Neodiprion lecontei: one gene and its partners. The protein of the gene in region 1 interacts with the protein of each later gene in a pairwise test. Links are inferred from orthologs where the notes say so. Each region holds a gene or a part of one and is shown on either strand. Other genes may lie near its edges.

Region 1 (3,757 bases):
TCCATCTATCCAGGCTGGTCCGTTTGGCACGACACTTTTTATCTGAAGGAATTCTTCAATAGTGTCATCTCCACCGACAATAGTGAAACCCAGTCCTCTGGTACCTTTCAGCAGCGTACTACGTATTCTTAGCCCCTTTAATTTATCAGGGTTTCTAGTGAATACTGAACTTTTACAGTCTGTCACGCCCTGCTGAGCCCGTTTGGCTTGGAGTACTGGGTTCTCGTATTGGGTTCGCCGATTCACATGGTCGATAAAGTAGGTTCCGTACAAAGTATCATCTATTTTTTCCCACCCATAAGGTAGCTCGTCATCTAAACATTCTTCTAGGGAACGTTTTTGAAATTTGGACAACCTTGGATCAAGCCAGTGCGACGTGCCGCTGTTATGACTTGAATAATATACGGTAATAAGTTGACTAGCATCCTATTTGAGAAAACCATATGCAATATATTTTTACAAAATTTCTCACAACTTTCAGTATTACTTACTCGATAAAATACACTTCTCCAGTGTCAGTGTAGGCTTTCTCCCAATTGGATGGAAGGGGTCCTAATTCATCCTCAGATGCACGATCTTGGTTGCTATGCTCTTGGTCTAGATCCCTTGTAGTCTGGCCAGATCCTGTATTATAGAGATAACTTGGAGGTACCAGATGAATCGAACCATTTGCATTCCCAATTTTTTGAACTTCTTTGTCGCTACAACTGCCTATTGGTAGAGAACACAAACTATAATAATTTGAAATTGAAAATCCAGAAAAGACTCACTAATTACAGAAATGTTATTAAACGATTTTGCCAAAATAAAGTATCGTTGAACAGCTCTAAGACAGAATGCATCATCTTTGTGGCTGTTACAAGAATAACTCACCAAATGAGATAAACATACGCATTTCAGGTGATATAATATAAAGAGTTGAAAAATTTAACCACTTACGGATCATTTTCAATTTTAATATTAGATGGGATGCGCATAAGAATAATGTATTCGAAAAAACACTAGGTATTTTTTATGCGTTTTAGCAAACTGAGACGTGCAGCTCCATTTGTTTTATACGCTATTTATCATATACTTTTTAACAGTATCACAAACTATGGTTTAATCGTTTGGGGGAGGGGCTTATGAAAACACTATGGCTCCATTAGTTAATCTCCAACAAAGAATGATAAAAAAGTTACTCAAAATTATCTACTTCAAACCTTGCTTAATCCCTGTAATTTTTATATTTCAAAAATATTATTTTTAAATACAAGAATGTGGAAGAGATCTACCTCGCATCAGTTTTCAATCAGGTGCAAGGAAGCAACTTGCGCCAGTTCGACAAGTTACGAGAACAATCTACAAAAACAACCCGAAATATATGGTTGCTGAATATTTCAGCTTGTCATCTAATAATCTAAAAACTCTAAAAATTAAGACATGTACTGCAAAAAGAATGATTATGAAATGGCTAAATGAAGAGTGCATGCTTTCATAGCTTGATTATATGGGCTATCCGAAATCATTTGATATGATTATTGTTATTATTGTTATTATTTACTACTACTTTTGCTATTGAGAACCAAGGGTAATGAACTATGCTCTCTCTATCATTGTTTTTAAAATAGGTATTCATTGGCATGTTCTTCGTCTTTGTTCTATTTGTCTATAAAAATATTATTGAATGTATTTTTCATATGCCTATATGTATGTACGCGTGTGTATGTACGTATGTATAATTGTATTATTTCTAGTTCATACCCATGTACAGACGGTGTTTCATCTCTGTGAGATTCAGAGTGTTTACATTGTATTACTTTGAATTTTGACGAATAAATTAAAATTGCAATTTTTGTGAATGATACTGATTTGTCAACATGGACTACCAAAGTCTATAAAGGAGTTAGTAAGTCAGTAAATAATAGTTGGATTATTTTTACCGCAGTCAAAACCATCGTTGGAAAGAGCTGTGTTGCTTTGGGCAGCCATCTCGTGTTTTCTACCTAGCATATGATAGCGAGTAGCAATTATGCCTTTCTGATGTTTTTTAGGTACTGAGTGTTATCAGCCAAAACTGGTAGCTCCCTGACATCTCTTGGCCATATTCGTTGTTCTTGATGAATCAGCCAGATCCTTGCTCATAAAAATCAGCATCGCCGTATTTCTTTCATTGTCATAGGATTTCCGTTACGATATATCTATTTCAAATGCATTTTTGCACAATAAAAAGAAAATGCTTGCAGACCCGGATTGAAGTCTTTCACAGCTCGGTTGAATTCGTATGTACAATTGTGGAAACAAATTAAAGCAAGACTAACATTTCGATTGTAAGTACAAAACTCTGCAGGCATTGATAATTATTTGTCAAATGAAAACTAAGACGAAATAATTGAAAATTTTTCCGCACAAATTGAATGGACTTATTTCAAGCTATCGTTCGTGAAATTTACACAGACGTGGAGATGGTAGTGAGGAAATTGCGAGGCGAACGACTATTGAGATTCTGACAAATAACATACAAGTGTCAAATAAATCAAGCCAAATTTACTAAGCTTAAATCTACCTCCGCGAAATTGATTATTCAGAACAAATGCTTGTATGCTTGTTTCCAAATATGTGATCGACAATCTCATTTGTGTTGTTGTTGTTGTTGTTGTGTTGTTCCTGCTGTTGTTGCTGCTGCTGCTGCTGCTGCTGCTGTTGTGGTGGTTCTTGTGTCCCACTTGCCCAATAAAAGAGATTTGTTGATTTCTACAGTATGGCTACTCCCTATCGGTCTCCCCTTCCACAATGCAATAATATCCCTACTGGTTTGCTGAACAACGAAGGAACAAATATTTCCAAAATGAATCACACCGAAATCTTAGAACCGAGCTAGAGTAGACACGGTTTAGTACTCATCGCATATAAACAGCACTTGTTCCAGAGATATCGGGATTTGAGGTAAAAACATGAAAAGCAAACTCATTTGAAGAGAGAAGCACGGACAACGAACCTGTTGTCCGAAAATACTCGTTAAGTAACCGGTAGTTCCTATAGGTGGCGCTGAAGTCCCAAGAAAATGTAGGGCGTTGACTGGAAGATTGCTAGACAGGTTAGCAACGGTTATCATTTTAAAGCAAGGAAGAGGGCACGGCGGTGACGGCAGTGCTCTACAGTCAACAACCTGCTAATGGATCTTACCATGTAAATTTAGTCTGCAGGATAAAAAATGTTTATACCGCAGCTTCGCCACTGGCCTATATCTATGACTCTTCTACTTTTAACTGTTCCCTTGTCCCCCGCCATGGGGCCGATAGAAAAGAGAAAGGAGTACTCCCGACATATCTCTTTGCTGTATATGTTAGCTTCAGGGGCCGGATTCCGAACATCAAGCGAGTTCGAGTTAGTGAGTTCTACGGTTTTTAGTTCTGAACATCTATTTTTCTCTCCTTTCTTAGCTATCGCCCTCTATCAACAGCATGTGCCACTTCGTAATAATATTTAACATCGATAAGCTCTGTACCGACCGTGATGTTCATTAACCATCGACTATAATAATAGTATGGAGAGCGGAAAACCGTAGAACTAATTCGAACTCGCTTGATGTTCGGAATCCGGCCCCAGCAACGGCTTCAGTGCCCATTATGGGAGGAGTGCTCATAGTGCTCAGTCTATTGTCTATCCTTTAAGTGTATAGGTGGGGATGGGTTTCTTGTTGAAGCTCAAAAGTTCTGGAAATTGGCCGCAAAGTTAGAGCGCTGCAATCTCGTAGTACCCCAACGTAAACAAGCCC
Region 2 (3,757 bases), on another chromosome or scaffold:
TTGAGGTTGTGACACGTTACTCATGTATGAATTTTTCCGGAAACGGATTGAAATGTGGCCATTTTTGAACACGCTAATATTTTTATTTCGGCAGCTGAAGTCTAATTTTAGCTTTACCTTATTTCTACCGACCGACGAATCAGTCTACGTTAATTTTCTCAGTGATAAACCGGCACGGGATATCAGTTAAACAATTTCTAACTAACGTCACGTGTCTTTGCCGATGATAACATTCAGTTTATAAAGTGATGTAAGCTACTAACGGGAGACGCAACGTCTGCGATCGTATTATATAATACTGTTTATATACATGCATAGATGTAACGACACATTAAAACTCTGGTACAGTGAGCAAAGAAGAACCTATTGTTGAGCTTATACTTGGCCTAATATAATAGGAATTTTTAATGGCGCGTGTAAAAAGCACCTGTTCATCGCTTCGTTCCTTCATATTATCGTCGTCTTTCCTGCGGGCTGCAGGTGTTTTACGTATAAAATATAATCAGCGATTATTTGTAATATTAAAATTGAAATAAAGAGATGAGGATCTTCGTGAACTGTTTGTGACTTGAGATGTCGCCCTTGTACACGTCGCGGTGGTTATAAAATGATTAACTACCCGTAAATTGCACTGCCTTTGATGCTAGATAAACGAGGTTGACTCGCAATCAACTCTCTTCCGGTTTTCATTAACGCTTTCAATATCTACGTACTCGAATATTCTTCTAGGAACGATGTTTGTGTCCGCGAAATTTGTCGTTGTAAAGATCATTCCACCTATCGACTAACTAACTCCATTTGTGCATGAAATTATCTGTTATCTCATGTTAAATGGGCAAAGAGAAAAAAAGTAATGACCAGCCAGTGCACTCGTATATACATAATTAAATGTGAATTATTTTAACTGTGCGTCATGCTGCATCTCACTGTCGGTGTAAATATAGTTCATCAAGCACTCATAAACACTGTAATAAAGCATGCCGATTTTATGGAGGATTATCCGGATGAAGGCTCGTTGGTGAGTGTTCGTATGCTCGGAAAATATCGCCTACAGAAAATTACATGTGCCTGTAATTGCGCCACCAATCAACATATTGACAAGATCTGTGAAGTACAGGCTATTGACTATTTCGCATTAATGGGATATTATTGTTAATTGAGCTATACAATGACATGGAAACTCCTATTTGTTTGTTAAGATTTTTCGGATGTAAGTTTTTGAACGCTGTTGAATCTGAAAATTTTAATATGTACGGAACGTACAATATTATTCGCAAAGAGTGTTTATGTTCAGATATTTAATAACTGTGTATGAGGATGTTTATCTGTGGAAAAAAAAACTGTTTTTTAAATGACGAGCGAGAAATTTTGAATACTAACTAATATTGGAAAAAACCTAAGAATTAAAATCTCAAAACAAAAAACCATTTTAGCGACGGCCATTAGTAGTGATTTTTTTTGTACAGTACACACCTATGCATTCTACATGATTAAATTTTTAATACTTTATACCTACATGTCGTTTAGGTTGGCAAGTATTTGAAAATTAGTTTTCATTCGATGAATATTTGTTTAAATGTACACGTTCCTGTAAAACCAGGCATACAACTTGTGACCGTATCATGATAATTAATAATCGTGTAGCATTATAATCAGTAGCAACTCGACTAACGTCAGAATGTATGCACGTGTAAACAATTCTAAAATTAAAATCAAGGTCAAGTGGAACAGTTGAATTATAATTTTCGAACGTTTCAAACAATCTCATCTTTCGATTATTATCTAATATTAATATAGTTTTTTATTTTTCTTTTTTGGTTGGCAAGTTTTTGCTTCCTAAATTATCGTATCTTATATACATCAAAAAATTAAATTTTGCATTGTTTTTTTTATTGCAGGAGTGGGTGTTAGCTGGGGGTGGTGCGAGGATGGCGGACACGAGTCAGCAGGAGCTCTCGGAGCCGCACACTAATGGGGCAGTAGATGGCCTCACCGAAGAAGAAAAAAGCAAAATGCGGCCTGCGGATATAGATGCTGTAAGTTTCCCCTTTTAATCATGGAAATTCCTGCGTTCTTTTGAAATTTATCTATCGCTCTGTTCGTTGCCACATAATTGAACTCAACTTTAGAACAAAATTTAAGAATTGATTGACAAATGAAAATTGATTTCCATCTACATAAGTAATAAAATAGTATTAGAAATATATTGTCCTTTTGAATTAGCTCATTGCTAACAAAGGTGAAGTAGCAGATGATGAAAAAAATTTCATTTTAACGTGATTGAGAATTGAAGATAATTTCACTTGAATTTGTTCGATTCCTAGGATATGCGTGAAATGGAGAGAAGGAAGAGGGTCGAGATGATGATGAACTCTAGACTCTTCCGAGAAGAATTGGAGCGAATTATTGAAACACAGATGAAAGACGGGGGGGCGGGACCTTCCGGACTCCTTCAACAAATATCTGATATGATGGGGGCACAAGGTGCTCGCTTCAACTCAAATGTGTTCAAAAGTTAGTATTCTACTAATTCAGTTGCTTGAAAAAACCATATTATGTTGTGGAAAAAATCTTTTTTCCATTTTTTACGTTCATGTTAATTATATTCCAACTTACTGCAAGGAATTCTAATTAGAACCGTCGAGAATAAAGTTAACTGACATACTTGGAAATTCTATATGCAATAGTCAGTTTCATCTCAGGAAGTCTTAATTGTACTATTCAAACAGACATTGAAATCAGAAATCGGTTATTCTGGAAATTCCAATTGTGTCATATCGTTGTAGGCATTGGACGTTTGCATTATTATTATTATTATTATTGTTGTGTTGTTGTTGTTGTTGTTATTATTATTATTTCTTTTTTTCTAAACTGAATCAAAATGAACATCTCAAGTCTTGGCCATTTTGTTCGTAAGGCGAGTCATTTTAAAGAAAAACATTTGACAAGTTGTTAATTGTAAAAGGAACAACTATGCTTTGAGGTATAGTTGTGCAATGAAAATGTGACTAAATAGAAAAATTTGCGTTCAATCTGAGTAGAAATTTAGAACTCATTAGACTTGAACTAAAATTACTCATATGTCCTGTCATTTGTGAAAACAAATTTCGTGCATTACTTCGCATTCGTCACAATCTTCTTATTTATATTTCACAATTGTCAAAATCTTTCAATTTTTAACAGCATAAAAATGTTTTTAAAGATTGCAATAATGAGTATCAAAGAAATGAATACTTGGATATACTTGGAAATACGTAGATTTTTACAACTAATAGAAATATAAAGTTATAAATCATTTTCATGATATCTGCTAAAGGTTCAAACTGTGTGGTGCCTATAAATGACATTCGAGGAGTCGAGAGTATGGGATATGCTAAAGGTGAAAAACTGCTACGATGCAAGCTAGCTGCTGTGTTCAGATTGCTTGATCTCTACGGATGGACGCAGGGTGTCGGAGGCCACATTACAGCACGTCTGAATCAAGATCAGGAACACTTTTTGGTCAATCCTTATGGTCTTCTCTATCACGAAGTCACTGCGTCTAGTTTGGTCAAAGTAGATATGCAGGGATCTGTTGTTGAGCAGGGAACGACCAACTTTGGTGTACATATTACCGGATTTCAGTTACATTCAACAATACACGCTGCTAGACCCGACATCAAATGCATTATCCACATCACCACTCCGTCCGTTATAGCTGTGAGTAGAATTTCGTCTGTTTTTTGTATTCCGCTCTTGGTTTATTCGAGTTTGCACA
Region 3 (3,757 bases), on another chromosome or scaffold:
TCTATAAATAACGCGTTGTCGTTGGATATTCAAAACGAAGATGGTCCTGAGAGCTTCAGAACGTACTCCTTTCATCTGGGAAGATGGCTTTTTTTTATCGTCGTTCGAAAAGTCGATCGGTCTTCGTTTTAGGCTGTTGTTTCCATACAGTTTCATCAGAGTTAACGAGCTCCCCTCGACCGGCACCTGGGCGAGACAAGTTTTCGGCAAAATACGAGACTCGACTTAAACAGATCACCCATCATCTCAAGTTGAATGGCGGTTGAAGGAGACGCGTCGTTAAGACGCGTTCGAAGAACAATGCGTGCAAGTGCGTTTAAGTCCCTCGTCGTTAAAGCTCCATGTAGGAAGATACGAGCTAGTACCTCAGAACCCAGAAAAATCGATCAACTCATTTGCATTCAATCTTGTTCGAGTTTATCAACGTGGCTTGCAGAAGCCGTCCGAAGTTAAGCGAAGTTCCGTCCGCAGCCACAGCCGCAAACACTCAAACAGTCAGTCACTGCAGAGTTTCTGCTCTAGTCATTAACGGGAAGATTGCGGATTGTGGTAGAAAGAAATTTACGAGCCCCAGATGTGGAGGACATGACAAAAGTACGACAAGAATCTACGAGTTTCCATGAAAATTGCATAATTCCATGCGTCCGACAACCAAATGATCGTGCAGCTTGTCATCGATAATTCCTGACAAATTTCAGTCCCTCGCTTGCGCGCTTCTCGTAATCGATTGACTGAGATCCCGATCACTTTCGGTAAGGAATGCCGGGGTGATTTCACCGTTCCACATCAGTCTTGGACCGTTAAGTGAGGCTGGACGTCGAATGAGGGTTGATTTCACCGTGACCATGCACTCTCCCAGGAGTATGGTAGGCATGTACCTACCTACCATGATTAAAGCAAGTCTTCAATAGAAGTCGGTGGGTGTATCGTATAGTCGGCGAGATGTAAGTGAGAAAGGGTACGGCAGCGGTGGAGAAGTGCGAGGATGGAATGGCGTGAGGCGGTGAAGGGGATGAAAAGGAGGGGGGTAGGGGGTGGAGGGTCGTGTGTTGCGGGCTGCTGCGGCTCGGGCGCGACAGTTCGGCTCCAACCACGGCCGGCAGAGCTTCGCCGCAGCCTCGTTGTTCGACAGGGCCTGACCGTCGCCTATCGGCGAACCTCTAACCTTCACTGGACCCGGGGTCGGAGTGTCGACGTCCGAACTTTGTAACATACTTTGTATAAAGTAGGCGCGGAATCGGAGGCCTTCGGTCCGCTCGGAGATCGTGTGAACGTGTGAACCGACTTTAATCCGTTACCGCAAGGATCTCTCGCTACTCCGATTCGAAGGATTAAATTTTAACGCGTGAACCGCCTAATGTTTCGCCTAATCAACTACAGCGAAATTTGGTTATCAGTATTTGTATAAAAGTGTTGGCCAATCTTGAGCGATCTGGCAATAACTACGCTGCATGCTCCAAGAGACGACGTTCCAGGATAGAACCACCTTGCAGACCACTGACTCTCTGTACCCTTCGTACACCGATTACAGTCAAAGCTTTTCGCTATCTACGAAACGAATTCGTACTTCTGAGACTCTGAAAGTGTTCCAGTGGGAAGGACAGGGTTCAAAAGGAGGATCCTGTTCGAACTGCGATGTATTTACGTAATCGTGGAAAACACCCACAGGATTAAAAGTGCTAATAAGCGTGCCACTTTTGTTATTCGTTGTACTACTTTTTTTTCTCTAAAAGTCGGACTACGTTCAATGGAAAAATTTTCACCCATCTAAGGATATTACGTACAGTGTGCAAGGATAAAACGTGAATCGTGATGTAATTGGAGGATGGGTGACTGTCGCTCTTGAAATACTTCTTTACCCTTCCGTAAACTCTTTTCGCATCTTAAGTTTTCAGTCTCCATCTTCATCTCGGTTTCACTCAGACGACTACCTAGCGTTCTCTTTCGCTCGGATTTTTTTATAACGCAGCCTGATTCGCGGGGAGAAATTAAACGGCCGAGTGGACAAGCTCCAAACAATTTACTTTTCTCCTGGTCGAGAAATTTTTCCGGAGATTGATCGGTGCGATCTTCTCCCGGGCTCCGAAGCGTAACAAACAACTGCCCGAACCCTCTCTAATCAGCGGAGCAAAGGTCGAGCGATTAAACTCATTTCCGATAATTGCTACTGCCCTGAACTATATGCAAACTCTAGTCTATTGACAGATCTGTCGAGTTACCACCGCCTCGTAATCTTGATCAGAACCACGCAATAGCTTAGCGGGTATGAAACTTGGAAGGTAAGCTCAAAAACCTCGGTGCCAGTTTTGGCTGTCATTCAGCCACGAATATACGCGTGTCGATGATAAACGTGCGGAAAACGAGTCGAGGCCGTCAGTCTTGTACTTCTGTATCCAGCAGAAGACCAGCGAACAATAGGTACACCAGAGAACAATACGGTACAAAATTCGTGGCTCAGAGTATCGTGCAAAAATAAAAACCGAGCAGTGGATTAATGAGCCATTCGCCGCAGTCTGCACGAGTTCCTCTCTCTGGAGCTGCGCTAAATTTTGAAAAAAAGATCAACTGAATGGACAAAGAACGGCACTGGGAAAGTCAGTTAAGCAGTAGCTGCGCCAATAATCGGGTCACAATCTGGTGACACAACAGAACGGAACACTTAGCCACTATCGGTTCACCTTCGAGCTGCGATTCGGGAGAGTCCGGGACCTTCAAGGCCTGAAGAGCTGTGCTGAGAGGCCGGAAAACCCCGTAAGAACCACCGAATCGGCACCATAGATGTCAAGAAACCCGAATCCTCGCGGCCCCGGTGAGTTTTCGCTGGTCGTTTAATCGCCGAGTGTCCGTTACGAGGAAAGGGAAGCCTTTGCCGGTTCCCGGTCCTCGCGATCGAGAAACGCCGCAGGAGTGTGACTTCGCCGAGGTGTTATGTATTGCCTGAGTGCGGCCTGCAGGTGCGGTGCTGGGGATAATGGCGGTGGAGAAAGATGAGACTGGCAGTGGGGGTCGTCAGAGAGGGACGAAGAGGAAAGGGACGGGGGCGAGAGAGGCACCGCCATGTCATGGGAGTCCATCGCGTCCAGGGAGTACCTCAGGTGAGCCAGACGATCCCGCCACTCGTTTCCCTCAAATCCACTCCAAAGTGCCGCGACCCTTATATCCATGACCGAAGAAGAACAGAGTGGCGGAATATAAAATGAAATAATGTCTTTCAGGGTCGCGGAGGGTTGTTGATTTTCAAGGGTAACGGATGGGAAATGTTCCGGTGCTTCGGTCATGTCGCGATTGATTGTTCGTTGGAATATTACTGGTGTAAAGATGTAGAAATACCTCCAGAGAAACATTTTACAAACGAAGCATAACTTTCGCAAAAATTTACGTTACGAAACACGTTGTTGCGTACGTGTTCGAACTTGGTTGTACGTAGGTAATGGAAAGAGCCTATCTCTACGAATCATTCAGGGAATTAAGCTAATCCCATTGGACGTGTGCGGTGCTTTAAATTGTTAATTATCAAGGCGGAACAGCTTCCAAAATTGTGGAAAAGCCGGACGATCAAAGCCGGCGTAATTAAACTTGTCGAGAGATTTGGGGCACCTCCAGTAGCTGAACATTGAATCGCCCCATTTCAGTGACCGAATAGTGCACAATCCCGCTCGCGTTGACGCCGCTGTTGTGCGTCGAGCTTTAGAGGACGTACGTCGGTGTGTCAGTGTAATCAGACGAAGGTCTGAAAATTGTTGGTGATTCTTTTCTC

The links.
Region 2: the proteins of membrane-associated guanylate kinase, WW and PDZ domain-containing protein 2 (region 1) and protein hu-li tai shao interact in a two-hybrid assay, tested with the Caenorhabditis elegans proteins (2 studies listed by BioGRID). The link is inferred for Neodiprion lecontei from reciprocal best matches to the Caenorhabditis elegans genes magi-1 and add-1.
Region 3: the proteins of membrane-associated guanylate kinase, WW and PDZ domain-containing protein 2 (region 1) and 43 kDa receptor-associated protein of the synapse homolog interact in a two-hybrid assay, tested with the Caenorhabditis elegans proteins (2 studies listed by BioGRID). The link is inferred for Neodiprion lecontei from reciprocal best matches to the Caenorhabditis elegans genes magi-1 and rpy-1.

The regions. Positions count from the first base shown.
Region 1 is NC_060264.1:36,470,656-36,474,412, forward strand, and holds the start of membrane-associated guanylate kinase, WW and PDZ domain-containing protein 2, read right to left. Parts: upstream 2,963-3,757; 5' UTR 1,993-2,962; coding exon 1,923-1,992; intron 712-1,922; coding exon 492-711; intron 392-491; coding exon 1-391.
Region 2 is NC_060263.1:22,533,648-22,537,404, reverse strand, and holds the start of protein hu-li tai shao, read left to right. Parts: upstream 1-898; 5' UTR 899-913; coding exon 914-1,018; intron 1,019-1,898; coding exon 1,899-2,036; intron 2,037-2,324; coding exon 2,325-2,514; intron 2,515-3,316; coding exon 3,317-3,699; intron 3,700-3,757. UniProt on the Caenorhabditis elegans protein: Membrane-cytoskeleton-associated protein that promotes the assembly of the spectrin-actin network. Plays a role in time-dependent memmory loss and the retention of conditioned behavior over time.
Region 3 is NC_060263.1:35,028,311-35,032,067, forward strand, and holds the start of 43 kDa receptor-associated protein of the synapse homolog, read left to right. Parts: upstream 1-1,097; 5' UTR 1,098-3,057; coding exon 3,058-3,095; intron 3,096-3,757.